Linked DNA regions of Callithrix jacchus. The protein of the gene in region 1 interacts with the protein of each later gene in a pairwise test. Links are inferred from orthologs where the notes say so. Each region holds a gene or a part of one and is shown in the gene's direction. Other genes may lie near its edges.

Region 1 (4,106 bases):
GACCTTAGGACCAAAAATACATGTGCTGGCTTCATCTCACCAGGCAGAAGTTTCCAGGCTGGTCATTTTGCCTCCTTCATTCCCTGGATTATTGATTAAAAGAAACTTGCAGCAGTTTGACTCTGAAAGTCAAAAGGACAAAGTAGCAATCAGGCCATGACCGAAATGCACACAGAGGCCAAGGGACTTGCAGAGCACTTCCTTGTTTGTAAATCAGAGTCACAGTGGAGAGCTGAAGGCACTGCAGCCAGTAGCACCACCTGTGATTACGGGGCCACAAGTACCTGAACTCTCTGTGTCCTTCTTGCATGATGCATATACATAAGGTAACACCAAGGACTCGACTCACATCTCTGGAAGGAGACTACTTAACTCACTAATTATTTATGTTTCTATTTAGAATCTGATACCCAGAGCTAATCACTTATTTAAGCAAAATCTTTGGTCCTTACTGGAGCTGTCAGCCCACATTAGTGCTTAGGTCAACTGGTGGGAAAAGCAAAGCTCAGAAAAGCCCACTTCTGGAATCACAATGTTTACATTTTTAATTAGCTGGGTCACTCTGCAGGAATGACTTAGTCTCTCTAATCCTCAGTTTCTTTATCTGTATAATGGGAGTGATAATGATAGGATTCTGTTGAGAATTAAATGAAATAATGCAGGTCGGGTGATTACTATAGAATCTGGTAGACAGTAAGCACTTAATAAATGTTAGCAAAGATGTTGCAGCCGCTGACGATGGTGATGATGGTGATGATGCTGAAGAATGAGCAGAAGAAATACTTATTTAAACAATAATTCTATATCTTTGGAGTTAAAAGTCTTAAATAGTATCAGCCACAAACATGCCCATTCCTTTTTTTTTGTCTACAAACATTAGGCAATGTTCAGTTATGAGCAATACTGCCTATGGAAAATCTTTGAAAGTTTTGGCAAGGTATTAGAACAAGTCAGAACTACTTATTTGCCTGATACTGATTTTGGTGCATGCCCCTTTACTTATTGAAAAATAAAAGATGCCCAGGATTCTAGGGCCTGTCCAGTCAGCAGCCCCTGCCTATTAAGGAGTTGGTCCCAGCATGATAATGTTCCAGACCTACTGATGGCCTGAAGGTGTGGTGACCCTGTGTTTATTTCCTTGTTGATTTCCCTTCTCTGGCTCCAAGATCATTTTCCCATTGCCCGCAGGAAACAACATCTAGGGGAGAGGTAGGCCTGACTTGGCAACCCTAAAGGTGAACAAAAGGATCTTGACTTTTGGCAAGAGCAGAAGGAAGTTCAGGGGTGTCTCAGCCCCATCCAAACCAGACAGATTTGTCACTGATGGTAATGCATGCTGCTCTGCGGGAGACTGCTCTTCCTTGAATCTCCCCATAGCTGCTGTCAGATTTATGGATCTCTTCTACCCAAAGCCTTGCAGAAGGGGCAGGAGATGCCCTGGTTAACCCCTGCATGGAAAAAGGCGGAGCAGTTTTTATACACAGCTGGGGCACAGAACACTGGAAAGAGAAAGAAAAGTTTTCTGAGCTACTGCTAAGCCAGAAAAGCTCAGCTCTCAAAAGAACTATCTCCTGAGACCTCACACAGCTGGGAGACCTCATACAGCAAAGGTAAGATAGCCTTGTCCCTCCACCAGCTAGAATCTCATGCAGTTTTTTAAAACAACTCCACCTCTGCCCACTCGGCCTCCAACTCTCCCCTCTCTCTGTCTCTCTCTCTCTCTTTCTCTCTCTCTCTCTCTCTCTCTCTCTCTCTCTCTCTCTCTCTCTCTCTCACACACACACACACACACACACACACACACACGCATCAAATTGAAGAGAGTCTAAAAGATGGAAAATATCCAGGGGTGTCTTTTTCAAAACACTAGAAAGACCTCAGGACATTTGCTCTCTTTATACCTATTTTCCTGCAGTGGTCTTCATTAAAAGCTTCTTTACTTTCACAGATGAAAATGACTTGCCAGACAGGTCAGTGAAACCGTGAGGAATCCCACTAGCAGTAACTGGATTTACATGACATTATTCTTCATCAGTATTTAAAACACATCACACACAGACTTCATTTCACTCCGCAGTAGGAGTAGGTATTGCACTGCAGTTTTACCTACAGATAAAGAGGTTCAGAGAGCTGTGACCTGCCCACGGGTGTGTCGGGCTGGGGTGCCCGGCAGCACACCCTGTGCCCACTCCCGCCTCTCTTCTATAGAATGGCGACCTTACTCTTTAAACAAAATTCCAGACTACATTCTTGGCCATGTATTCTGACAAATGGTCTGATGAGAGGATGGAATTTTAGAAATTGAACTCTTCTGGAAAATCCAGAAATAGATAACCACAGTATCCTGTACAATATACCACTTTGTCATGTATCCCTGTTTACTTCCATTCCTGGGCATTGAATTCAGTTCAACAAATGTCGACAAACTATGTTCCCTGCTCCAACACTGACTGGGTCATATGTCAGGGTGCGATGCAAGCCCTGTGCCCAAGGAGAACTGAGGCAGCAGTTCAGACCAGGATGGGGAGCTCCCCTAAAGAGGTGAGCTTCAAACGAGCTCAGCATAAAGTGTGGACTTGGATTGAGGGAGAGTGTTTAGAAACACAAGTCCCTGGGAGGAATCTGTTGAGTGACCATTTACTTACACCTAGTCCATGGTGGCAGAGCTGAGGGGTGAGGAGCACAGTCTGAGGAATTAGACCGTCTGGCCTTGACTCTTGGTTCTACCTCTCACTAGCTCTACATCTTGGCGTACCTCGGTTAACCCCTCTAACCTCACCTTGCCAATATGTGAAATGGGAATGATGGTAATATGTCCCTCATAGGGTTGTCTTCAGCTGTAAATGAGATTATGCATGTGAAGTCTTTGCTGATGCATAATAAGTGCACAGTAAATATTAATACTAACTATCGTGATGGCCATGTGCCTGGTTCCAAGGGAGATGCAGGGAATACAGATAAGAGGAGGCCTACCCTCCATGTAACCAAAACCTCATGAGTTAGTTGTGTGCAACTAGTGCCATGTGGTGTGATGCATGCTCTGAGACTATGGGGGTGGAATCTTCTAAGTCTATGTGAGTTCCAGTTGGGGTTCTAGGGGACAGCGAAGGGGGCAGAGGTTTCACAGCAGAGGGCCTATGTGTAGGGCCTTAGTAAAGAATGGTGAAAAGAGCTAGACAGGTCTAATTCTGATTCCCAGCTTCCTCCTCTATTTATGTATCTATTTATTTCTATATTAATCCATATGTATTGAAAACCATAAATTCACACTTCCAACACCACAGAGTTTTCTCCCTTTCTGAATTTGTAACTGCCGTCATTAACATTGATCAGAGGCTGGCTCCCATTATCCTTAATATATTATTTGTTTATTTGTTCGGTCCCCCAAATATCACCAACTGCCATCATGACCAGTGTCCCCTGCCCCATTCAGATGCCCTCCGCACCCTGCTTAGGCCCTGATGCTTTGTTCTGGGCCTCCCTGAGCTGGCTCCTGGAATTCTGGAGCTACGATATGTCCTCCACACCCCGCACAGGTGCCTACTTTGCTCAGCCACGTGTAATATTTTTAAAGACTGTGACCTGCGCTGTGCATGTGTGTATGTACCTGTGTTGTCACTGTCTTTGATGGGGAACAGAGCTTTCTCCTTCGTATAGGCAGGGCACATGTCCTCAGCATCAGGCCTAAAGAAGTCAGGCTTATGCCATTCATTCTATTCCACTTGGTCTGCTCATCTATATGGATGTGAGCTGCTCACTATCTGCTCAGGGTAGTAACAACATTTCCAGGGTAAAAACCACTACTGGGGCAGTTAATTCTCCTTTTTCTTCTCTGCCAAGTCCTTGTCAAGGTTCTCCATTATTCATTTTACTCAACAACAGATACAAAGCGCTTACGAGGTATGAGGTGCTTGGCTAGGGTGGGACATAGAGATTTAAATCTTGATTGCTACCCTCAAGGAACTCCCAGTCCACTGTGGGAAGCAAATAAGCAATAAATTTCAATTCCATGTGGACAAGTGCAATGAGAGCCTACACAACCTGCCAGGGGAGGGCACCTAGCCCAGACTGGGTGGGCACAGAAGAGATGCCAAAAGGGAATCCTA
Region 2 (4,212 bases), on another chromosome or scaffold:
GGTGGAGGTTGCAGCGAGCCAAGGTCGTGCCACTGCACTCCACCATGGGCAGTAGAGCGAGACTCCGTCTCCAAAGAAAAAAGAAATAGCACAGAGGCCAGAGTGACTGGAGCAGAGTGAGGCAGTGGGGAGGCAGTAGCAGATGAGGCTGCAGAGGTAACAGAGGGGCAATCGTGAAGGGCTTTGGCTTTTACTCTGAGTTTGGGAAACCCCTGGGAAGGTTTCGAGCAGAAGAGGAATTGGATTTGGCTTTCTTTAGGGTCACTATGGCTGCTGTATAGGGACAGACTGCAGGGAGATCGGGGAAGAGACCACTGTCGTGACCAAGGTGGGAGATGATGGAGGCAGAGGTAAGAAGTGGTCGGGCTCTGAGTATGCTAGGGAGGTCCAACCAACAGAATTTTTGGGCCCTGGAGGTGAAATGTGAGAGAAAGCTGAGTGCCGGGTAACAGCAAGGTTTCTGTCCTTAACACCTGGTTTCTGTCCTTAACGCCATTGAGATGGTGATGCTATGGGGAAGACATCAAGGGCACAGATTGGGATGTGTTGAGATTGAAATTTATTGTAGAGATCCAAGAGGAGGTATTACCTAGGCAGCTGGATAGGGAAGTATGGAGTTCAGGAGACAGGCCCCGCCTGGAGATGAATTCAAAGCCAAACCTTTCTCTCTTGGCACCCAACAAAACCTCACTTAAGCAGGCTTGTCAGGTCACGGAATAAAGTACAAGAACGTTTTTGGAGGGCGAAATGCCGGTCAGCCCTACCAGTCAGAACGCTGCTTTTAAGATCAAAGAGATCTCTGTTCTTCAGCCTAACCCACCTCTCTACCTAGTTTCTCCCCCAGCCCTGCTAGGCTAGAAGCTCCCTGGCTTTTACCACGTCAGGATCCCCAACAAGCCCATTCCCAGGTGGATAAGAGCCCAGGCAGTTCCCTAGGACACCGTTCACTTCCTAGCTACCCAAGAGCAGGACACCGGCCTCCTGGATATTCACTCCGCTCTCAGAATTACACGAAGAACTCAAGGAAGCCTCGGCGCCGGTTCAGTCGGGCCGGGGCCACTAATACCAAAGGGACCCAGTGGGTTCTACGTGGTGAGTGGGGGCCGGGTAAGAGGGATGCGACACCCCCACGCTGGGGCCAGGCACACCGTGAGGGGCTCGGCCACTTCTTACGCCCTCCGATCGGCGAGCACCTACCACCCACCCTCGCCACCAAGCTGGGTGCAGAGAACAGGGCAGGCGCACGGGCAGTTCTCACGGCCCCAGGCGCCAGGCCCAGGGCGCAGAGGCCGGCTTCTCACGCGCGACCGCGCGAGGCCGGGCCCCTCCCTCCCCTTCCCGTCCTCACTCTTCCCCTCCACCTCCCGTCCCCTCCCGGTCCCCGCCACCCAGCCGGGCAGCCAATCGGAGCTGGGATCCCGCCCCGGTCCGCAAAGCCGGCGGCGCCCGAAGGCTGCACGGAGAGCGGTACACGGGTCAGGTGAGGCGCGCGCGAGGAACGGGGGTCGCACGCGGGGGAGCGGGGGTCGAGCGCGGCTTCCATAGAGCGCTCGGCCTGAGCTCGAAGCCCCAGGCCCGCGGGAGGCCCGGGCCCGCTACTGCGAGAGCCGGGACGCAGCCTGGGCGCCGCCTGCCCCGCCCCGCCCGGCCCCGCCCGGGCCCGGCGCGAGGACGCGGTCAGAGGCCCCGCGGCCCGGATCCCGACGAGGGGTTTTCTCAAATACACAAAAGACGGTCTAAAAAATTAAGTCTCCGTGTCTGTTGAGATTGCCCGTGGCTTCGGTTTTTATGTAGACCCGGGCGAGCAGGCTCGGCGTCCGGCGTGCCGCGTAGTCCGGCGGCTCCGGGAGCTCGAGCGGCTGGGCCCGGGCGTCGCCACCGCGGAGCCGCGAGCTCGGCCGGGACCTGCCCGGGACGCCCTGAGGTCCGCTCCGCGGGGACGAACCTGGCGCGGCGCAGGCACTTGGCCTCTCCTATCTCCGCTTTCGTCTTTGGAAACTGGAAACTTATCAATTCATTTACATTGATTGATTACATGGTTTGAGGATTACATGACAGTGTTCTGTAAAGTGCACTCTACATATGAAGTACTCAGAAACAGGGCTAATAATTAGGTTAGGGTATTAACCCGAACCCTAACCCCAACCCTCACAGCTACTTAAATGATAAAAAGGATTTGCAGCATCAGAGTTACAGTTTTGGATACTAATTTTTTTCACTTAACGCTCGTTAAATGATAGGAGTTTTCCATCCTGTTATACCGCTGTGCGATCTAATCTTGGTGCCTCAGTTTTCTCACCTGTAAAAGTGGGGATAATCATAATGCTTACTTGGTTAAATGGCCCTGAAGAATAAATGACTTACCGAGCATAAATAGCTTACAGTAGGGTTTTCAGCATGGGAAGGATTCAGTAAATGGTAGCAGTCATAATCACCACCTACAAAGCAAGCAACACTGCTGAAGATTTTCCATCATTAATGTAGGTCCTATAATACGATTTCCAAGAAGTTATTTAAATTATGGAAATAAAGGTATTGGTATATTGCTAATTATTTCCCAAAAGATTGTATTGATAAATATGCTCATCCTTCCCTTAACGTTATGCATTCCATAAATCACAAACTTAAGTCAAATATTAGACAGTATCATAAGGCAGATTGTGTAGCCAGAGAGCTAAAATTTACGAAAGGCGCCCTAATTATACTTGAACTTTTAGGAATAATTCTCAGTGTGTTTTCCCACATTTCATATGTGATCTTTACTTTTTTATTCTCTGTACCCGCTGCCTACCCAGTTAGCATCTGAGTAGAGTCAAAGATCTGCCACTTTGGGCCACATTTATTAATTTTCATCTCTGTTCTCATTGTATTTACTCTTTGATCTACACTGCTTACTACTCCCAGTCATTTTTTACAGAACTGAAAATCTGGTAAAATACTCAGACTTGCATGGGCTTCTGCGTAGAGGTGACACTCCACCAGTGCCGTGGGCTGGCAGGGAATCACAGTGTAGGAGCCACGGCAGCATTTTTATTCCTGATTCTCCTTGGCGTATCCAGGACTCTGATTACATGATCGCATATATGTATCAGTGGTAACAGATTGGGGCATTTGTTTTTTTGTCATAAATCATATAAGATTTAGAAATAAGTTGATAGCCATATATTTTGGCATTTGAAAAAGACATTTCATTACTCAGCTTCAAATTAAGCTTTAATCAAATAGTAAAACTTTTCATTAATGGACAGTATATACATTTTTGTTTATTTTTTTAAAATACTGAATATAGTGCCTTTGGACAGGGGAGCTTAGTTCCTGACAATGTTCTCTTGAGTCTTTTTTTTTTTTTTTTGAGGCAGAGTCTTGCTCTGTCACCCAAACTGGAGTGCAGTGGTGTGATCTTGGCTCACTGTAACCTCCGCCTCCCTGGTTCAAGCAATTCTCCCACCTCAGCCTCCTGAGTAGCTGGGATTACAGGTCCACGCCACCGTGCCTGGATAATTTTTGTATTTTTTTAGTAGAGATGTGGTTTCACTATGTTGGCCAATCTGGTCTCAAACTCCTGACCTTGTGATCTACCCACCTCGGCCTCCCAAAGGAGTCCTATTTTGTTGGCACAGAGTCTCCTATGTGGTTCAGACTGGAGCACAGCAACACCATCTTGGCTCACTGCAACCTCTGTCTCCTGGGTTCAAGTGATTCTCATTCCTCAGCTTCCTGAGTAGTTGGGGTTATAGGCAAGCACCACCATACCCAGCTAGTTTATATATTTATTTTATTTTATATATATATTTGTATATATTATATATTAATTTTATATACATAGTTATATATATTATATATTTTACATATATATTTTTTAGGAGGCTTTTCTGGAAATGCAAGAAAAAGAAATAACCTTTAATATGTTCTAGATATATATATATTCAATATATATATAAAATAAATATATAATATATATAAATATATATATATAATAAAATAAATATATAAATTAGCTGGGTATGGTGGTGCTTGCCTGTAACCCCAGCTACTCAGAAAGCCGAGGAATCAGAATGAGAAAAATATATATATATAATATTATATATATAAAATATAATTATATGTATTATATATAATTATATAATATTATTTATATATATATATATATATATATATATATTTTTTTTTTTTTTTTTTTTTTTCTGGAGACAGAGTCTTGCTCTTGTTGCC
Region 3 (3,500 bases), on another chromosome or scaffold:
GGCCTCTGTCTATTCCAGTCCTCATCCTTCAGCAGCATCACGGACTCCACCATGTCACTCAACATCATCACGGTCACTCTCAACATGGGTGAGTCTGAGGAAACCGCAATCTCAGGCCCCTGCTCTTTGCCAGACACTTGGCAGACTTGAGGTCAGAGTGGCGCAGAGTTTGTTCCCTGCCCTCGAGGAGTTCTCATTCCTAAACATCAGCGGATACATAAACGGATCATTTTAGTACCTCAACATCAGGGCTGTGACAGAGATAAGCACAGAGAGTAGTAGAAGCAGAAAATGGAATCAGGGAAGGCTTCCTGGAGGAAATGACTTCTGAGTGTCCACTCCTTTGCATCTCTCAGCCACTGCATCCTTGCTCTCTGACTTCTGCCTAGGTACTCTTTAAGAGACAGCTGGATATAATAAAAGGAGCCCAACTTTGGGATTTCAATCTGAGTTTGAGTCCTGGCTCTGCCACTTACTGGCTTAAAAAAGTCATCTTCTAAGTTCACTGAACCTCAGTTGCCTGCTCTATAAAATGGGACTGAGTCCCTACCTTACAGCCAGCAAGGATTCCGTGGAAGCATGTTTGAGCATGCACGCTAAGTGCAGTGTCTGGTTCAGGATCAGTAAATGTCAGTTCATTTCCTGTCCCTTTCCATTTCCTAATGGGCTGGGAACGTGGGTAGGAACGTTGCTCCCCCCTAAGATCTTAAATTACTCTCTACAGAAAAATATAACTTCTTGGGCATCTCCATTGTGGGCCAAAGCAACGAGCGTGGAGACGGCGGCATCTACATTGGCTCTATCATGAAGGGCGGGGCCGTGGCTGCTGACGGGCGCATCGAGCCAGGAGATATGCTGTTACAGGTATCAGTGCCCACCCTAGGTAGTGGTGTGGATAGGGAGTAGGGAGGTGTCCTACCATCTGCACCCTCATTCAGAGGCCCCTTCTTGGATGGGGAAAGACTCCCTGACCTACCAAGTTGAGTTCCCCTTTCATCCTCCCGAACACAACTGCCTGTCCCACTCCGGGTCCTCTTTCCCAGGTAAACGAGATCAACTTTGAGAACATGAGTAATGACGACGCAGTCCGGGTACTGCGGGAGATCGTGCACAAACCGGGGTATGGATGGAACGGGGCGCTGGGTAAGGGGCGTGGTCTGGCCTATACACATCATCCTGCCTTCACTAGGACACCCTTGTTTTCAGGCCCATCACCCTGACTGTAGCCAAGTGCTGGGACCCAAGTCCACGTGGTTGCTTCACGTTGCCCAGGAGTAAGTGGATGGGAGACTCAGTCCTGACGCTGGTGCTTACATACATGAGCCCAGTCTCTCTTCTGTCACCCAGAATCCCCACACCTATCCTGTTGGGCCCAGCAGTGGGTGGGGTGGGTGGCCCATGACTCCTCATCCTCCCTGCAGGCGAGCCCATCCGGCCCATTGACCCTGCGGCCTGGGTCTCCCACACTGCAGCCATGACGGGCACCTTCCCTGCATACGGCATGAGCCCCTCCCTGAGCACCATCACCTCCACCAGCTCCTCCATCACCAGTTCTATCCCTGACACAGAGCGTGAGTGTCCAACCCTGTCTCCTGGGCTCAGCAGACAGGGCCAGGTGGGGCAAACTGATGAGGGTCCACGTAGAGACTCTTGCTTGAGCGTCAGAGAGGGCCGGAGAGGGGACTCAGCTCCTGTCAGCGACCCCACGCTGCAACTCCTCCACAGTGGGCACTCTAACCCCCACTCAACAGTGTTTGCTTCTGAACCTGTATGAGCACCCAGGGGACCTCAGTTTCCTCTTACAAAATGGGACTTACAACATAAACTTCACCAGATTCCTGTGGGTTTAATGAGAGGATGTAAATGAAGCACCACTGCAATGTGTGGTACAAAGTAAGCATTCAGTAAATGGCAGCCGTTTCGATTATCATAGCATGTTCATTATACCCTGGGCCAAGCGCCTGCATTTACATTATTTAATTCTTTCTTCAAATAGCCTTGTAAAGTAGATATTAAAATCCCCATTTTTTCATAGAAGAGGAAACTGAGTGTCCAAGAAGTCAGTAATTTTCCCAGCATTGGTCCCAAAACGATTAGGTGTTAGAGCTAGAATGCAAACTCTTATTTCCTCAACTCCAAAGCCCCTTTCTGCCTCACCATTCTGCCTCCCACCCCCAGGCCTAGACGACTTCCACCTGTCCATCCACAGTGACATGGCTGCCATCGTGAAAGCCATGGCCTCCCCTGAATCAGGGTTGGAGGTCCGTGACCGCATGTGGCTCAAGATTACCATCCCTAACGCCTTCATCGGTGAGAGAGTCCCATGGTGGGATGCGGGGAAGGTGGGAGTGATGGGCAGGGCCGGCTGGGGGACCCAGGACTTCCCTTGAGCTGGAACCAGCCCCAGCCTCATAGCTTCTATGAGGCCAGATGGGTCCAAGTCAGATGGGCTCCCCCAATCAACTGGCAGCCTTGCTCCCAGGCTCAGATGTGGTGGACTGGCTGTACCACAATGTGGAAGGCTTCACTGACCGGAGGGAGGCCCGCAAATATGCCAGCAACCTGCTGAAAGCTGGCTTCATCCGCCACACCGTCAACAAGATCACCTTCTCCGAGCAGTGCTACTACATCTTTGGCGACCTCTGCGGCAGTATGTGCCTCCCTCACCTTCTTGTCCTATCTCCTGGCTAGGAGTGGGGAGGTAGCCAGGGAGGTGGCAGCAGACTCTGGGGAACCCAGATTGGAGGACAGCAGAGCCAGGGGCCCAACTCAAGGCCTAGGAGTTCTGTGGCGGAAGAAGAGTCCCGTCTAGCCTGTTCGCCTGCCCACATCTCCCTGTTGGGCCTGGCATTTTCTAAATGCCTGCTCTGCCTGACCATGCTGGTTGTTCCCAAAGCATCATCTTACTCAAGCCTCACAACCTCCCAGAGGCCCAGCTCAGGAGGATACTGACAGAACAGGCCTTTTCCTTCTCACTGGCCAAAGTCTCAGCTAGGGGCGTTACAGGCTCAAAGGGAAGAACTGGAGGCCTAGGTAACCCTGAGGAGCAGTCATTTGCCTCAAGACAACAGCCTGGAGGCTCACGGTGTCATCAGCTCTTCGGGCAAGAGCTGGCACAGACCACTGCTTTCCTCCACCACCACTCCCCATGCTGGCTGCTGGCCTCTTGACAGGTTGATGGCTCGGCTGCAGCATCCACAGACAGCCTCACAGCTCTGTCTCCTGACTGCTTTCCTGGAAGGCTGGGCTGGCTCTCCTTAGGGCTGGGAGAGCCCTAATAGGGCAGGTGGCCTGAAGGGCAATTATTGTTCTCTTGTAGCTCTGGGAACTGGTACAAATAGTGTGTGAGCAGAGGGTGTCCCAGGAAGGTACTGAGTCCTGGTGACTGTCACCTTATACTCTCTTCAAGGTACTTCCAACATTGGGAGCAGCCTTGCCCTTAAGGAATGGAAATTTCCCTGGGGGCGCCAGAGTCATGAGATGAGGAATATTAGTGGGTG
Region 4 (4,202 bases), on another chromosome or scaffold:
TCACGATTCATCTAAATCTTCTACAGCTCCTTTACAGACGACCATATCAAGTAAAACAACTGAAGAAAAGAAAAAGACAAAATGTACACAATAAATGCTGATTATTTGGCTCATACTGCATAAGCTTAGTCATCTTTGAAGTGTTTTTTGACCTTTTGCAACCTACCAAAAAATTCATCACTGATGCATTCCACGGTACAAATGATGCAAAAGCAGAAGTAGTTCATCCATTTAATAAACATCTAGTCTGTATGCAACCATATCATGACCGGCCAGGTTCTAGTAAGCCCATAAATCTAATAAACACAGAGTTCCTTTTTCCTACGTATTTTAACTCTCACCTTACTTTTCCTTTTTACCATCCTGTCTTTTTGGAATACAGGCAGACAGCATTCCTCTATATTTCTTTTGTTTTAGTAGCAATGATCTCTTCAGTAAAAATTACAAATGCCATTCAAAATATTTCCCCTGAAATAGACGGCTAGAACAAATCAAAGTCGAGCTGCAACTCTAATACTTAATACAGGGCATTGCCTGACACAGAATGGGCTCTTAAAGGTTGCTAAGTGAGCGGACCCCAGTGAGAACGAAGGCACCCAGGGCTGAAGAGAGGGAGCTGAGAACAGCGGACACACACTGAGTGTTTCACACCGCACAATCCCGGTGGCCTGACCCTGATCTGAGCCCTGGTGGTAAAAAGCCTTAAACGTGACAAGACTCAGAACCTAAAGCCAAGGCAAGATCTGGCGGTTAAGCTGGGACGGCAGCATCCTTCTTGCCCATCAAAGGAGTGAGCTTTATTGAAACTTCCTGCCACAATGAAGAAAACACAGACACAAGGAAGCGCGCCCTTCCCGCGCCCGGCACTGGCCCCGCACAGGGGCAAGGGAAAGACCCCCAGGTATCCACTCCGTCAGGGCCAGGCAGGTCGGCGTGGCGGGGCGGCAGGACTCTGCGGGACCGTGCGAGCGTCTCCGCGGACCCCACAGGCCTCGCCTCAGCCCCGGGCCCAATCCCGGCCCCACGGCGGGCCAGGTCCCAAGAGCCTGCCGGCGTCGCGACCTCTGCTCGATCATTACCTGTGGCGCAGAGCCGCAGGGCGGCCCGACACCTCCAGGCTGCCATGCTAGCCTGGGAGAGCTGCAGAAGCTGACTCTGTGCAATAGAGAGAAAAGATACCGGTGTCCGCTGCCTTCCCGCCAGGAAAGGGAAGCGGAGCTGACCCAGAGCGGAAGAGAAGCTCCGCTCAGAATACGGGGGCGGGGCAGGCCGGCCTCCGTTAAGCTCCCAGGACCCCGCCGGTCTCCGTCTCTGAGTATGCGCGGAGTGCGGCGCATGCGCCGGGAGGGCAGCGTCTGCGCTGTCGTGTGCTTCAGCATCCTTTGCGCCCTCGGCCCCTCCTGAGGAGCGTGGGAACCCAGCGTGCGGGCTTTATTCGGGAAAGCGGTGGTTGTTCACGGGGGCACGTTTCCGGAAAGGTGAATACTGGAGAAAGTTAGGTTGCAGGCGAGGTAGACTCCCACGACGCACTTACGGGATGAATATTGGCACATCATTTGCTTGCTGCTCCCGTGCAGTGAGTGCACCTGTGCGTTTTAATGCTGGATCAAATTTGTGGAAAGAGGCGCGCCTGAAGACTGGATTGCTGAGCTGCGCGCCACTCTGTGTTTTTCCAAAGCGTTTTTGAAATCGTCTTTCAACCTGTTTGCATAAAGGGACATCTCTTAAATGCAGCAAGCTTTAATGCACTTTTGCCAAAGTAAGGATTGCCTCTTTAAAAACTTTCTCTTGAAACTTGAGAACATAAAGTTAGGCTTAGGATTTTTTATGACTTTTCTGATTACTTTGGAATTAAATAAAATAGTATGAAATATTCATATTGCTACCTGTTTTTTTTTTTCTACAGGACAATGATTTGTAAAACCCATATTTCTTTTATATGAGGTTACTGCAGCAGTCGCTACTTCTGAATTAGATGAAATTTTTATGGGACGTAAGGTACCAGAGGATTTAGATCAAATTTTGAAAACCTATGAGAACAACAGAAAGGGTAAGTTATGATGTCAGCCGGTTCACCTTAGGTTCAAAATTCCAACAGGCGGAAATGTTCTAAAACATTGTTATTCCTAGTGACTAGAAGATTAAATTACACTCTAATTGAGAGCAAGCCTTAAATGTCACCCCTTTTGGGCATACAGCATGGTATCCAGTGCAAGCCCTCTGCAGATTCAATTTTTCTTCCTTTCTTTTTTTTTTTTTTTTTTTTTAAAGAAAAAGACTAAAACATAAGGGGACTGTTGAAGCGACGGGAATGTTCTCTCAATGGTGGTGAAACAGCTTTATAATAGTACCATGGACTTGATACTCTTCTACAGAAGCTTTTCTACTCTCTTGGCAGTATCTCTGAAAGACCCATATTCAGTTTGTTTTTCCATTCTAATGTATTTCAAAGTTCTCTGTCTTCCACAGCATGCAAAATAAAATAATTTCTTTGCATATTTGCATTACAGTTTAAGTTAGCATGTGGAGAACAACAAAAACCAGTTAACCTAGATCTGTGCTCTTCAATAGTGTAGCCACTAACCACCTGTGGCTATTGAGCTTTTGAAACATGCCGTGTCATGAAGTAACTGAATATTTAATTTTAATTTTAGGAAATAAAAAAACTGACACTCGATTCAGTTATTGGAAAGTTTTTTTAATATGATTGGAACAACTGAGATATTTGAATCTACTTTTTCAACTGTAAATTTTATGAAATCTAAAAACTGATCATTTCCCAGGTGTGGGTGGCTCTTAACTGTTTGCCAGCACTTTGGGAGGCTGAGGCAGGAGGATTGGTTGAGGTCAGGGATCCGAAACCAGCTTGGGCAACACAGTGAGACCCCGTCTGTACAAAAAGTTTAAAAATTAGCCAGGTGTGGTGGCACACACCTGTGGTCCCAACTACTCCAGAGGCTGAGGTGGGAGGATCAATTGGGCCAGGGAGGTTGAGGTTGCAGTGAGCTGTGATTGTGCCACTGCATTCCAGCCTGGCAACAGAGCTAGACCATGTTTCTATAAAATAAATACCAATTAACGTATTTCTGATGAAATTAGGGAGGTTGTAAGGAGGTATAGTATAAATGTAAAATATACACTGGATTTGGAAGGCAGTATAAAACTGTTAAATGTCTCAGTATTTTTGTATTGATTATATGTTGTAATGCCTATAGCTTAGCTATATCTTAGATATATTGAGTTAATAAAATAAATTATTAGAATTAATTTCACCTGTTTTTATATTTCACTGTGTTTCCAAGAAAATTTATAATGACATATGTGCTTTGCATGATATTTTCATTGCAGGCAATGTGAAAATGTTCAAAATTATGCATTAATGTGAAAATGATTTAATAAACCAATAGACTTTTTAGGCCTTTTGTTCAGAGAACATGCTAAATTTCCATATGCTAAAACATATTCAGTGTTCAAAAATTTAAGTGTTTTTTTCCTGCTTATCTACCTCAAGTGGTGATCACTTTTTTTGTTATTTAAAAGGTTCTACTATTTTGACAAGATCTTTAAAAAGACTTTCAGATAAGCTACACTTGTACAGATACATGCCTTATATATTTTGCCTACATATGGCTGTAGTCTAAATGTGTATCGCAAATTGCATATGTTGAAACTTCATTGCCAATATGATAATATTAAGAGATTGGGCCATTTGTGCATGATTTAATCATGAGGTGGAACGCTCATGAATGTGATTAGAGACCTAATAAAAGAGACCAAAGGGATTATCTTAGTCCCTTTTCCCCTTCAACCTTAAGCCATATGAAGACACAAGAAGAAGGTACCATCCTTGGAAGCAGAGAGCAAACCCTTATCAGACATCAAACCTGCTGACTCCTTGATGTGCAGCCTCCAGAACTTTAAGAAATAAATGTTTATTATTTATAACTTATCAAGTCTGTGCTATTTTGTTACAGAGCATCAACAGGCTAAGTAAGACACATGTGCTTTCCAAAAGTCATATACACAGGTGTCTTGTTTATGGTAGGACTGTTTGCAATTGTGAAAAGCTAAACAATTCAAATCTGTAAAAGTAGAATAGATAAATTGTGTTGTTATCCTGTAGTAAAGTACTATATAGTAATGAGAATGAATGAACTTTTGTATGGAGAACTGTGTGGTTGCAAATCATAAACTAAATGTTG
Region 5 (3,500 bases), on another chromosome or scaffold:
AGTTATAGTGGGGAAGCCATGGGACCTGGAGAGGCCACCCAAGAAGGGGAAATGAACTTGAAAATCAGTATTGTGAAGACTGGAAATTGGACTCAGACTTTTGGAAAATCATAGATATTTTTTAGACCCATGCTCTCTAGAGGGCTGAAAAAGGGGCAAAAGTCTTTTGATAAAAGGACACCTTGAATCCATCTAATAAATCTAAGATCTAATCAGTGTTTGCATACAGTAACATAAGAATCTGTTAATTAAAATATACTTGGGAAGCATTTAAGAACACAGTCATTTGTTCACTCTTACTATGTTTTAGATAGGCATAGGACGTTTTTGAGAGAGGTGTGTATCATTTTTACATTAACAAATGCAGCAGATTTCTGTGTCTGTTCGAGTTGTTCAGAGACCTTGATATGTCTGCTTCTGTTGTCATCTCTCGAAAGTGTCCTGCCTAATGTCTTAGGTCTGGAAGAATGAAGTCTGCTTCTTTTCTTTTTGAAACTTAATTTTAATTTTCTCTTTTTAAATTGTAATTTATGCATATTTTATGCATGTCCTTTATGAAACTCCAATCTTTTTAATGTATTAATCTATTTTCTTCTGCTTTTGTTTTCAGATAGAAGAATTTCGAAGGCTGAGGACGCATGTTAAGGGGGCAGAACTTGTGGAAGGCTGTGATGGGATTTTGGGAGACAACTTTCGACCCACTCAGCCTCTTAGTGACAGAGTCATTAGAGCTGCATTTCAGTAGCCAAAGAGGACAGAAACAAGTCTATCTTCATGAGGGTATGTCCAGATTATGTAAGGAAAATGAGGTGCCCAGCTACTTAAACCTAGCATACCAAAGGTGCACTTATGGTGATCCTGGTAATTTAGTAATTAAGCATATGTACTTCATCTTGATAAAATTTATGACACATTCTTGAGCTCTGTTAATTATAGGTCAGGTAGTTATTTTAATTTTATGCAGTATTAAAGAAAAACTATGATTATATTTTCCTATCAGAGTAGCCCTAAATTCCAAATTTTGCTGGCTTTCATAAGGAAAGACACCCTGCGGCCCCGAAAAAGTGACGTGCAAGGACCTCTTTAGTAACTTACCATGTTTTCCCCTTGAAGCAGCACTAGTCATGTCCCAGTGACCAAGGAGCACACAGGAAGGGGCTTGGGGAGCATGAGAGTCTCACTGTGGACCGTACTTGTCTTCTGCAGAATTGATTCTCTTATTTCTCAGGGTAGGGAGCCTATCTGGCATGCACTGAAATACTTGTTCTATGGAAGTGCTATTTATTTGATAAAGTGAGAAGCACTTATTAATTATCTGAATATGGTGAAACATTATGTATTTTAATATATTGAATTCACTGTATGTATTTCTTACTTTTAAGGATCTAACAAAATAAAATATCACAAACATGGAAGAGATAAAATATAAAAACGACTATATATTGGATTATTTCTTTACCTTGTTAGTCTCCAAAGAGTGCATAGGTCATTGTACATCACTGGCAAACCACAGCTTCCCAAGGGGAAAGCATCTGTTGGAATAGATCCTAGGGAAGCAGTGAAATCTCTTCTTTGTAGGCAATTTAAAAATTAGCTGGGCATGGTGGCCGCCACTTGTAGTCCCAGCTATTCAGGAGGCTGAGATGGGAGGATCACTTGAGCCCAGAAGGTAGAGGGTGCAGTCAGCTGAAATTGCACCACTGCACTCCAGCCTGGGTGACAGTCAGACCCTGTCTCAAACAAAATAAAACAAAACAGAAAAACGAAGTCTGCTGGGTAACCAAAGTGATAGACATGGAGGCTTGGACGCTAGAATAGGAGCAGTGGAGGTGGAGAGAAGCTGATGTATATGAAATAGAAATTGCAGGTTATAGCTAATGATGAACTGGATGAGGGGTAGAGGGAGATGGAAGTGTCAAAGATAACTTCTGGGGATTTACACTTTGGAAACCCTAGATGGAGTGCCACTGAGTGGCAGTAGGAAGGCTGCGGGGAGGCCCTGTTTGGTTGAAGATAAAGCGTTGAGCTGTAGCACAGTGAGTGAGAGATGCCTGTCAACCACAAACTCCTGTGGTCCTGAAGGTCATTAGAATTTCAAGAGTGGAGATCAGAAAACAGGATGGGCTGAAATATGGGAGTATTGGACATAGATATTGTATATGTACATGTTCATATAATGTTCTGACTTCACCAAGTGTGCATGAAATCTTGTGGGAGGTTTTACACACAAGTTAGGCAAGACACAGATAAGTTAGGTCGCGCCCAAAGTAATGCAGTTACTTAGCAGCAGAGCTGAAAGATCCAGGCAGCTTGACTGGCAGAGCTCTTTTTCTTTACCATGATACGGGCAGAGGTTAAAGAGAGTCGCTACACTGGCGGTTGAGTGGTACATCAAGGAGGGACGCAGTTGCAGCAGGCGGAAGACCACAGGAAGGCAGGAGCTGGAGACTCCAGGTCACAGCCACCTTGGTGGGCTGGACTGGGGTGGGGCAGGAGGCCTCAGCAACAGAGAGGGGGTGGGATTGAGGAATTTTTTTCCTATCTTTTTTTTTTAATTGTACATTAAGTTCTGGGGTACATGTGCAGATCTTACAGGATTGTTGCATAGGTACCCACATGCCATGGTGGTTTGCTGTCTCCATTCCCCTCATCACCTGCATCAGGCATTTCTCCCAGTGTTATCCCTCCCCAACCTCCCCACCCCCCGCTGTCCCCCCTTCCCAACAGACCCCAGTGTGTTATGTTGCCTTCCCTGTGCCCATATGTTCTCATTGTACAATACCTGCCTATGGGTGAGCACATGTGGTGTTTGGTTTTCTGTTCTTGTGTCAGTTTGCTGAGAATGATGGTTTCCAGATTCATCCATGTCCCTACAAAGGACACAAACTCATCATTTTTTATGGCTGCATAGTATTCCATGGTGTATATGTGCCACATTTTCTTTGTCCAGTCTATCACTCACAGACATTTGGGTTGGTTCCAGGTCTTTGTTATTGTAAACAGTGCCTCAGTGAACATATGTGTGCATGTGCCTTTATAACAGAACGATTTATAATCTTTTGGGTATATACCCAGTAATGGGATTGCTGGGTCAAATGGAATTTCTATTTCTATATCCTTGAGGAATCACCACTGTCTTCCACAATGGTTGAACTAATTTACACTCCCATCAATAGTGTAAAAGTGTTCCTATTTCTCCACATCCTCTCCAGCATCTGCTGTCTCCAGATTTTTAACTTGTCTATGTACTAGGGTGTGGGGAAGGAGCAAATAGATGGAGAGAGGCTGAAGGTGCTGCTTCTGGGAGGAGCTGGAGCAGTGAAGTCTAAGAAGTTGAAAGGGATGAAATTCTAAGCACACAGGGAGACTGGCTTTTGCTAGAGGATTGGTACTCTTTGTACTGCAATGGGAAGGAAGAAAGAAGGAGGTGTGATTTAGAGCTGCTGTGTACCCATGACTTGCTCTTATCATTTAATGATGAATGGGGCAGGAGCTAGGAG
Region 6 (3,978 bases), on another chromosome or scaffold:
TCTCCTGAGTAGCTGGGACTACAGGTGCCCACCACCCCACCCGGCTCTTTTTTTTTTTTTTTCCGAGATGTAATTTCGCTCTTGTTACCCAGGCTTGAGTGCAATGGCGCGATCTCCGCCCACCGCAACCTCCGTCTCCTGGGTTCAGGCAATTCTCCTGCCTCAGCCTCCTGAGTAGCTGGGATTACAGGCACGCGCCACCACGCCCAGCTATTTTTTGTATTTTTCGTAGAGATGGGGTTTCACTATACTGGCTACGCTGGTCTCCAACTCCTGACCTCGTGATCCACCCACGTAGGCCTCCCAAAGTGCTGGGATTACAGGCATGAGCCACCGCGCCCGGCCTATGAGATTTTTAAAGTGTGCCTACATAATTAGGGTTTGTCAACATTGTGGCACCCACAATCACCACCATCTCAATCACCAGCCTGGAAATTTACCCGTGTAATTAATTTCCACTGCGTATCTACGTTTTGTCATTGCCAGATGATGGAATCCGTATCAGTAACCAACTCTTTTTCCAAGGCAACGACTTCTGCAAAACACAGAGATGTGCTTCCTCTCTCTCGCTAAGTCACAGGCCACCTATCTCCTCTCAAAACACCCCAATACCCAGGCAGCGAGTAAGCCCTGGAAGACGGGATTCGCATCTGCGTCCCATCGCCTTGCACCCCCTTCCAGGGCATCCTCTTCGTGTGGCCGGTTCCTGTCTGGAGGAGGTGGCCTTTACTTGGGTGTCATAGGGGATCACTCGCGAGGCCAAGCGGAACAGGTCCCTGCCAGGTCTGGAGGCCAAAAGGCAAGGTCCCAGGCGAACCCGAGAGGGAATTCCTGCCCGGCTCTGCCGACCACCTCCCGCAGACGGAGGGGAAGGCTGACGCGCTAGGGCGGGGCGCGACGGGGACAGGAGGCGGCCGCGGGCGCAGCCCCAGGGACAGCACATAATGGGCCGCGCTGGCAGAGCAGGCGTCCAGCTCGGGCGCCGCCGCACCACGTGGGCCTCAGAGCGCGCGGAGCCAGCAGCTGCCCGTGGGCCCAAGGCCCGGCGCGGCGCGGCGCGGCGCGGCGAGCGTCCGTGCGTGCGCGCGTCCGAGCGATTTGCGATCAGGCGGCGCGGCGGACAGCCCCGGCGGCGGGGCGGGGGGAGTTATATTGCGGGGTCCTTCCTCGCTCACCCTGGTTCCTCTCGGAGCGAGACGGCAAATGGCGGACTTCGATACCTACGACGATCGGGCCTACAGCAGCTTCGGCGGCGGCAGAGGGTGAGGCGGGCGTGCGCGGGCTCCGGCGTGGGCTGGGGGATCCGGCGGGGTCGGGGTTGTCAGAGGAGGCAGCCGTCCTGCGCTCACCCGGGGCTTCCCGAGGCGAGGACCCGCGGAGGCCTAGGAGCGGCGCCTGGAGGGCCAGGGCCTGGAAATGGCGCGCTCGAAGAGGGGGCGGCGGCGGTTGGGCTCCGGGGGTCTTGCTCGCGGGGTGGATCCCTTCCACCGCTTCCCGCCAACGACAACGTGTAGGGTTTTGCCCTGCCTCGGCCGCGGCGGCGCAGAGTGCCCGGAGATGAGCGCCGGGTTCCAGCCCCATCCCCGCTACGGCAGGACCAGCGCGGGGCTGAGCTGCGGCGCCGAGGTGCGGGCCACACGGCCTTCCCGGCTCCTGTCCTGGCCTCTTCTGCGGACCTCCGTTGTCTGCCGGCTCTGCAGGCCCTTGGCCGCTTTGCCATGAGGCCGGCCGCCTGGGGAAAGTCGGAAGGCGAGAGGGGCGATTCCCTTCCCCTTACTTGTGAGGCCGGGATTTGGCGGCTCTGGCCTGGGGCTGGTAGGACTCCCTGCGGGCGGGGAGAGACCAAGGATAACCAAATCCATCGCGGCTTCTTTGTGTTCATCTTTCTTGGGTCACAGTGCCTTGACAGGTGCTACGTGCTCTTTGGCACAATTTTATTTCCCTCTGGTTTCTCGCTCTTACCTGGAGAAGGAACCGCATTTAGCCTCGTCCTGATTGTTGTCAAATGCAGACGGCTATGTGTAACTGAAACACCTTGTTTAAAAGAAACGTCTTTGAATAGAGAGCTCGTGGTGTTTAGTTCCAGGATTCTGCACTTTTAATTTTTTTTAATAGTTGCCTCTTTAGATTTTAGGCTGCGAACACACTGCTGTTTGTCAAGGACAAGGCTGTTTGTGTTTTCTCGCAGACGGGGTTGCTTTCCCAGGATAACACCACAATAGTTAGTACACACTGAGGTGTTCAGGCTCCTGGGCTGCAGTCCAAAAGTATCTTTGTTTGGTGAAGAATGGTCGCTTCTAATACCTTGGTTTGGGAACGGCTCAAACAAAAGCTTATTCTGGTGCAGGAGTGTAGCTAATACCATTCATGACACTGTAATGTGGAAGTGTCGGGGAGGGAGGAGCTCCTTGGCATTCCAAATAACATTTTATTTGCTAATAAAAGAGGAAATGTTAGGATGACATAAAATTATCGCCTTTGGGGTAGGTTTCTAGACATCACATTTGTTCTTAAGTCATTTCGAAATTTAATAACTAGGCTTTGTTTGTTGTTGTTGTTGTTTTTTTTTTTTCACTTCCATAAAACGTTCACAGAAGCACCCAGGAAAATTCTTCTTAAAGAGAGTGGTCAATTTAAGTTTTAGTTGCATTGATCCTGCAATAAGGTGGCCTCATTAGACCGAGTGTGGGGATTGAAAGAAAATTCTTCCTTTAGACGCATTTGCCAGACCTTCTGGTGTCAAATTTTCACATCTGGGAGTGCCTGGAACTGTCCGAAGTAAATTCCCTTAAGATTCATTTCAAATACCCACAGGCAAAGGAGAGTATCAGCCACATGCCCAGGCGTACTCCAGAAACTGAGAAGTTAGGTACCCTGTGCCTCACTTAAACTTCCTAATAGAAAGTCTCTTTACTGTTAAGCATCTTCCAACCGACTTGCTTGCAATTTTCTTTTTTTTTTTGAGAGTCTTATTCTGTCTCTCAGGCTGGAGTGCAGTGGCCTGGCCTGATCTCGGCTCACTGCAACCTCTGCCTCCTGGTTTCAAGCAATTCTCTGCCTCAGCCTCCTGAGTAGCTGGGATTACAGGCACCTGCCACCACGCCTGGCTGATTTTTGTATTTTTAGTAGAGATGGGGTTTCACCATCTTGGCCAGGCTGGTCTTGAACTCCTGACCTTGTTATCACCCACCTCGGCCTCCCAGAGTGCTAGGATTACAGGCATGAGCCACCTCCACCTGGCCCATACTTGGAATTTTCTGTTTGGCTTCATATTCCTCTAAAAGTACATAAAGTATTGCTCAGCTTCCTAAAAGTAGTTTTTAAAAACTGGTGAATTTGGGCCGGGCGCAGTGGCTCACACCTGTAATCCCAGCACTTTTGGAGGCCGAGGCGGGTGGATCACGAGGTCATGAGATCGAGACCATCCTGGTCAACAAGGTGATACCCCATCTCATTGCACTCCAGCCTGGGTGACAAGAGCGAAACTCCGTCTCATAAAAAAAAATGGTGAATTTATGTATGTATGTATGTATTTAACTTTTTATTTATTTATTTATTTATTTTGAGACGGAGTTTCGCTGTTGTTACCTAGGCTGGAGTGCAATGGCACGACCTTGGTTCATTGCAACCTCTGCCTTCTGTGTTCAGGCGATTCTCCTGCCTCAGCCTCCCGAGTAGCTGGGACTACAGGCATGCGCCGCCGTGCCCAGCTAATTTTTGTATTTTTAGTAGAGACGGGGTTTCACCTTGTTGACCAGGTTGGTCTTGATCTCATGACCTTGTGATCCACCCACCTCGGCCTCCCAAAGTGCTGGGATTATAGGTGTGAGCCACTGCGTCCAGCCTATGTATTTATTTATACATGTGTTTTTTTGTTTGTTTTGAGATGGAGTTTCACTCTTATTGCCCAAGCTGGAGTGCAGTGGCAGGATCTTGACTCACTGCAACCTCTGCCTCCTGGATTTAAGCAGTTCTCCT
Region 7 (3,500 bases), on another chromosome or scaffold:
TCAAGTTAAGCTGTTAATTGCTGACTGGATAAAAACATTTCAGGAGCATACTATACCAGAGTACGATGTGTATATTTAAAGATATGGATATGCTCAAAAGTAAAAGATTTTCTTCAATTTTGAGGTCATTAATTATGTCAGCATTAATTATAAACATGGAAGACAGCATATTTTCCAAGAACTCCATGTTTCAAATTAGATATATAGTGTAGGGTAGTATATCTTAAATAGCCAGAGAAATATGGAGAGAGGAAAAAATACATAAATGGTAATGAGGTTATGATTAGTTTAAAGCGTTACCAGGAACATCACTTTCAAAAGTTTTATTTTTTCGTAGATTATTGAGGTTTGGGTATTGCAATGCAGCAGTAACAATGGAATATTTTATAATTTGCGAGAGTGGTAATCCAAGGACTTGGTACTTCTTGAAAAGTGCCTTATTTAGCTGCTTCATTTGCAAGTGTAGGGGGTGGCAATTGAGGTGGCCTTTTGGTCTGTTCACTATTGCACTATTGAGCCTTAAGCCGAGGAGTACATTAAAGATGTTGTTGACATGTGTATGCCAATGCTATGTGCTCTTCCTGTTTTGATTCTTAATTTGTCTTACTGCCTCAGCAGTGGTATAAAGAATTAGCCACGTTCTACCTGTTGAATGTAGGTATCCAGTGATCCCAATAAAATTTTCCTGTCATCAATTTTTGTTATATTTGTGTTTAGAGGAATATATAGCTGGTTAAGCCAGAGTTCTAATGCTTTGAATTGCAGGAAATTGAGGCCCTATAGAATAATACACCTGCTGCCTGTCAGTTATAAAGTGAAACTTTATATAAGATGATGTTATGGCCAGGCACGGTGACTCATGCCTGTAATCCCAGCACTTTGGTTTTGGGAGGCCGAGGTGGACAGATCATGATGTCAGGAGTTTTTGAGACCAGCCTGGTGAACATGGTAAAAACCCATCTCTACTAAAAAAAAGAAAACAAACAAAAACTAGCTGGGCGTGGTGGTGCACACCTGTAATCCCAGCTAATCTGGAGGCTGAGGCAGGAGAATTGCTTAAACCCTGGGGGGCGGAGGTTGCAGTGAGCTGAGATTGTGCCACAGCACTCCAGCCTGGGTGACGGAGTGAGCCTCTGTCTTGGGGTGGGGAGATGATGGTACAAGTGGGTTAGAGTGGGAAAAGGAACCTAAATTAAGTACAGTATATTACAATGAGTAAAGAAGTTGTCAGTGAAAAAAATGCTGTACAGTTCGTGTGCCAGACACAGCCCTGCACTTCACAAGATTGAAATAGGGAAGATGAAGGCCATGTTAAGATATTTCTAGGAAAAGTAGCTTCTGATTTGTTAAATTTTAGCTTAGGCTAGTGGTCATATTTGTATTCCCCTTGAGCTTGTTTGTTGTGAAAGGTATGTAAAAAGCAGGAAGTTGATCTCAAGTAATTAGTTGACTTTTAAAACCTTAAATAAGTCTTGTTAGTGGCTTTTCTGTCCATTAATAATACCGTTTGGGAACAAGGAGGAGATACAAGGTAAAAGAGACGAAGAAGGAGAGGTCATAAATGTATGTTCAGCTTTTTTTTTTTTTGGAGATGGAGTCACCCTCTGTCTCCCAGACTGGAGTGCAGTGGTGTGGTCTCAGCTTACTGCAACCTCTGCCACCCTGGTTCCAGCTGTTCTCCGGCCTCAGCCTCCCAAGTAACTGGGATTACAGGCGTGCACCACCACTGTTTAGTAGAGACAGGGTTTCTCCATGTTGGCCAGGCTGATCAGAACTCCTGACCTCAAGTGATCTGTCTGCCTCGGCTTCCCAAAGTGCTGGGATTGTGAGCCACTGAACGTGGCTTGTTCAGCTCTTTTATTAGAATAAGCTAAAAATGAAGACCGGTCTACGAGGAGTGCTCGTCACAGTTTAAAGGGGGAAGGGCCCAAGAAGACTGAGGGACATGCTTGGAGTGTATTTTCTTCCTTGTCCACAATCTTGCCTTTAACTGAAACTGAAACTAATGTCATCCTTTGCCTGCCTCTCTGTTACACAAGAGTAGAGACTTGTTTCTGTTTTATTTACTTTAGTAACTCCAGCACGGCACCACTTCAAATAGTAACTGATACATAGTTGGTACCTAATAACTATTTGTTGACTGGAATGATGCTTGCTTGTACTGAGTGCTTGTTATGCCAGTTACTTTTATAGCACATTACACATTATTAGATCTTTTTCTCAGCAGCCTCTGAAATAGGTGGTATTATTTCTAACTTGCATAGGAAACTGAGGTGTGTAGAAGTTAAATAATTAAATTATACAGTAAGTGGCAGAATCAAAACTCAAACCATGTCTGGTTCCAGAATCTGTGATTGTAATCCTTAGTATGTATACAGGAATTTTTTATTTTTCACCTATTATAGCCATACTCATAAACAGTTACTCTTGTTGGGTAGTAAAGGAAGTTTTACACACTTCTCCATACCTTTAAATAGGAGTGAATAACATGGTCTTTTGGAGGTAGGCTGGTAGTAGTCTATCTTGTTTGAATCTTTTTATGGTGTGTAAGATATATTACTTCAAAAATACTGATGAACTAAAAATTCTGATGTTCCTAGATTTGGAGCAAGAGGTGGTGGTGGCCTCCCCCCGAAGAAATTTGGTAATCCTGGGGAGCGTTTGCGTAAAAAAAAGTGGGATTTGAGCGAGCTCCCCAAGTTTGAGAAAAATTTTTATGTGGAACATCCGGAAGTAGCAAGGCTGACTCCAGTAAGTTTGTGTGTGTGTGTTTTAATGTACAGATTATTGAACCAGTAGACATAGTGGTTAGAGTTTATTCATACACTAATGTTGCTGTTTTACATTTTATTCTAGTGTGGTGATATTTTTAAAAAAATTTTTTTTCTTAATCACCTCCCCTTCCCCTCCCCCCCAGAGACTGGGTTTTGCCACGTTGCCCAGGCTAGTTTCAAACTCCCTAGCTTGAGCAATCTACCCGCTTTGGCTTCCCAGAGTACTGGAATTAGAGGTGTGAGCCACTACACCCAGCTGATATTTTTCTTATATTCTTAACTAAGATCAGTAATCCTCATAAAAGGGGGCCAGTTTAAATATGCATTTAATTTGTTATTTGTTGATAATGCTTCCTAATCTATTTATTATACCTGATTGAAACTATTATATATTAGGTCATGTCTTTTCAACTGTCAGTGAAAAAAATATATTGGTGTTGTCTTTTTTTTTTTTTTTTTTGAAATGAGGTCTTGCTCTGTCCCCCAGGGTAGAGTGTTGTGGCGTGACCTTGGCTCACTGCAACCTCTACGTCCCAAATTTAAGCAATTTTCCCACCTCAGCCTCCTGAGTAGCTGGGATTACAGGCACATGTCACCATGCCCCACTATTTTTTTTTTTTTTTTTTTTTTTTAAGTAGAGCCACTGTGCCCAGCCAAAATTTGTCTGTTGTTGTGCCTCATTATCATTGTTTTGGACTTTACAAATGAAATGGTTACTCTTTCAGA

Evidence for each region.
Region 2: the proteins of LNX1 (region 1) and BLVRA interact in a two-hybrid assay, tested with the Homo sapiens proteins (3 studies listed by BioGRID and IntAct). The link is inferred for Callithrix jacchus from reciprocal best matches to the Homo sapiens genes LNX1 and BLVRA.
Region 3: the proteins of LNX1 (region 1) and DVL3 interact in a two-hybrid assay, tested with the Homo sapiens proteins (2 studies listed by BioGRID and IntAct). The link is inferred for Callithrix jacchus from reciprocal best matches to the Homo sapiens genes LNX1 and DVL3.
Region 4: the proteins of LNX1 (region 1) and CCDC102B interact in binary tests that used the Homo sapiens proteins (3 or more experiments, as listed by UniProt). The link is inferred for Callithrix jacchus from reciprocal best matches to the Homo sapiens genes LNX1 and CCDC102B.
Region 5: the proteins of LNX1 (region 1) and CA8 interact in binary tests that used the Homo sapiens proteins (3 or more experiments, as listed by UniProt). The two-hybrid records come from large-scale screens. The link is inferred for Callithrix jacchus from reciprocal best matches to the Homo sapiens genes LNX1 and CA8.
Region 6: the proteins of LNX1 (region 1) and EIF4H interact in binary tests that used the Homo sapiens proteins (3 or more experiments, as listed by UniProt). The two-hybrid records come from large-scale screens. The link is inferred for Callithrix jacchus from reciprocal best matches to the Homo sapiens genes LNX1 and EIF4H.
Region 7: the proteins of LNX1 (region 1) and DDX17 interact in binary tests that used the Homo sapiens proteins (3 or more experiments, as listed by UniProt). The two-hybrid records come from large-scale screens. The link is inferred for Callithrix jacchus from reciprocal best matches to the Homo sapiens genes LNX1 and DDX17.

Annotation. Positions count from the first base shown.
Region 1 is NC_133504.1:143,048,458-143,052,563, forward strand, and holds the start of LNX1 (E3 ubiquitin-protein ligase LNX), read left to right. Parts: upstream 1-1,306; 5' UTR 1,307-1,610; intron 1,611-4,106.
Region 2 is NC_133512.1:11,962,705-11,966,916, forward strand, and holds the start of BLVRA (biliverdin reductase A), read left to right. Parts: upstream 1-1,412; 5' UTR 1,413-1,480; intron 1,481-2,364; exon of another isoform or gene 2,365-2,438; intron 2,439-4,212. UniProt on the Homo sapiens protein: Reduces the gamma-methene bridge of the open tetrapyrrole, biliverdin IXalpha, to bilirubin with the concomitant oxidation of a NADH or NADPH cofactor. Does not reduce bilirubin IXbeta.
Region 3 is NC_133516.1:13,150,531-13,154,030, forward strand, and holds part of DVL3 (segment polarity protein dishevelled homolog DVL-3), read left to right. Parts: intron 1-18; coding exon 19-88; intron 89-724; coding exon 725-864; intron 865-1,043; coding exon 1,044-1,120; intron 1,121-1,206; coding exon 1,207-1,274; intron 1,275-1,421; coding exon 1,422-1,571; intron 1,572-2,178; coding exon 2,179-2,310; intron 2,311-2,482; coding exon 2,483-2,650; intron 2,651-3,500. UniProt on the Homo sapiens protein: Involved in the signal transduction pathway mediated by multiple Wnt genes.
Region 4 is NC_133514.1:111,379,753-111,383,954, forward strand, and holds the start of CCDC102B (coiled-coil domain-containing protein 102B), read left to right. Parts: upstream 1-1,402; 5' UTR 1,403-1,478; exon of another isoform or gene 1,479-1,759; intron 1,760-1,906; 5' UTR 1,907-2,032; coding exon 2,033-2,050; intron 2,051-4,202. Other genes in the region: protein disulfide-isomerase TMX3, read right to left, coding at 5-11. UniProt on the Homo sapiens protein: During interphase, forms fibers at the proximal ends of centrioles to maintain centrosome cohesion. During mitosis, dissociates from the centrosome following phosphorylation to allow centrosome separation. Contributes to CROCC/rootletin filament formation.
Region 5 is NC_133517.1:16,345,449-16,348,948, reverse strand, and holds part of CA8 (carbonic anhydrase-related protein), read left to right. Parts: intron 1-610; coding exon 611-745; 3' UTR 746-780; intron 781-3,500. UniProt on the Homo sapiens protein: Does not have a carbonic anhydrase catalytic activity.
Region 6 is NC_133503.1:9,567,411-9,571,388, reverse strand, and holds the start of EIF4H (eukaryotic translation initiation factor 4H), read left to right. Parts: upstream 1-1,178; 5' UTR 1,179-1,203; coding exon 1,204-1,262; intron 1,263-3,978. UniProt on the Homo sapiens protein: Stimulates the RNA helicase activity of EIF4A in the translation initiation complex. Binds weakly mRNA.
Region 7 is NC_133502.1:209,415,800-209,419,299, reverse strand, and holds part of DDX17 (putative ATP-dependent RNA helicase DDX17), read left to right. Parts: intron 1-2,600; coding exon 2,601-2,751; intron 2,752-3,500. UniProt on the Homo sapiens protein: As an RNA helicase, unwinds RNA and alters RNA structures through ATP binding and hydrolysis.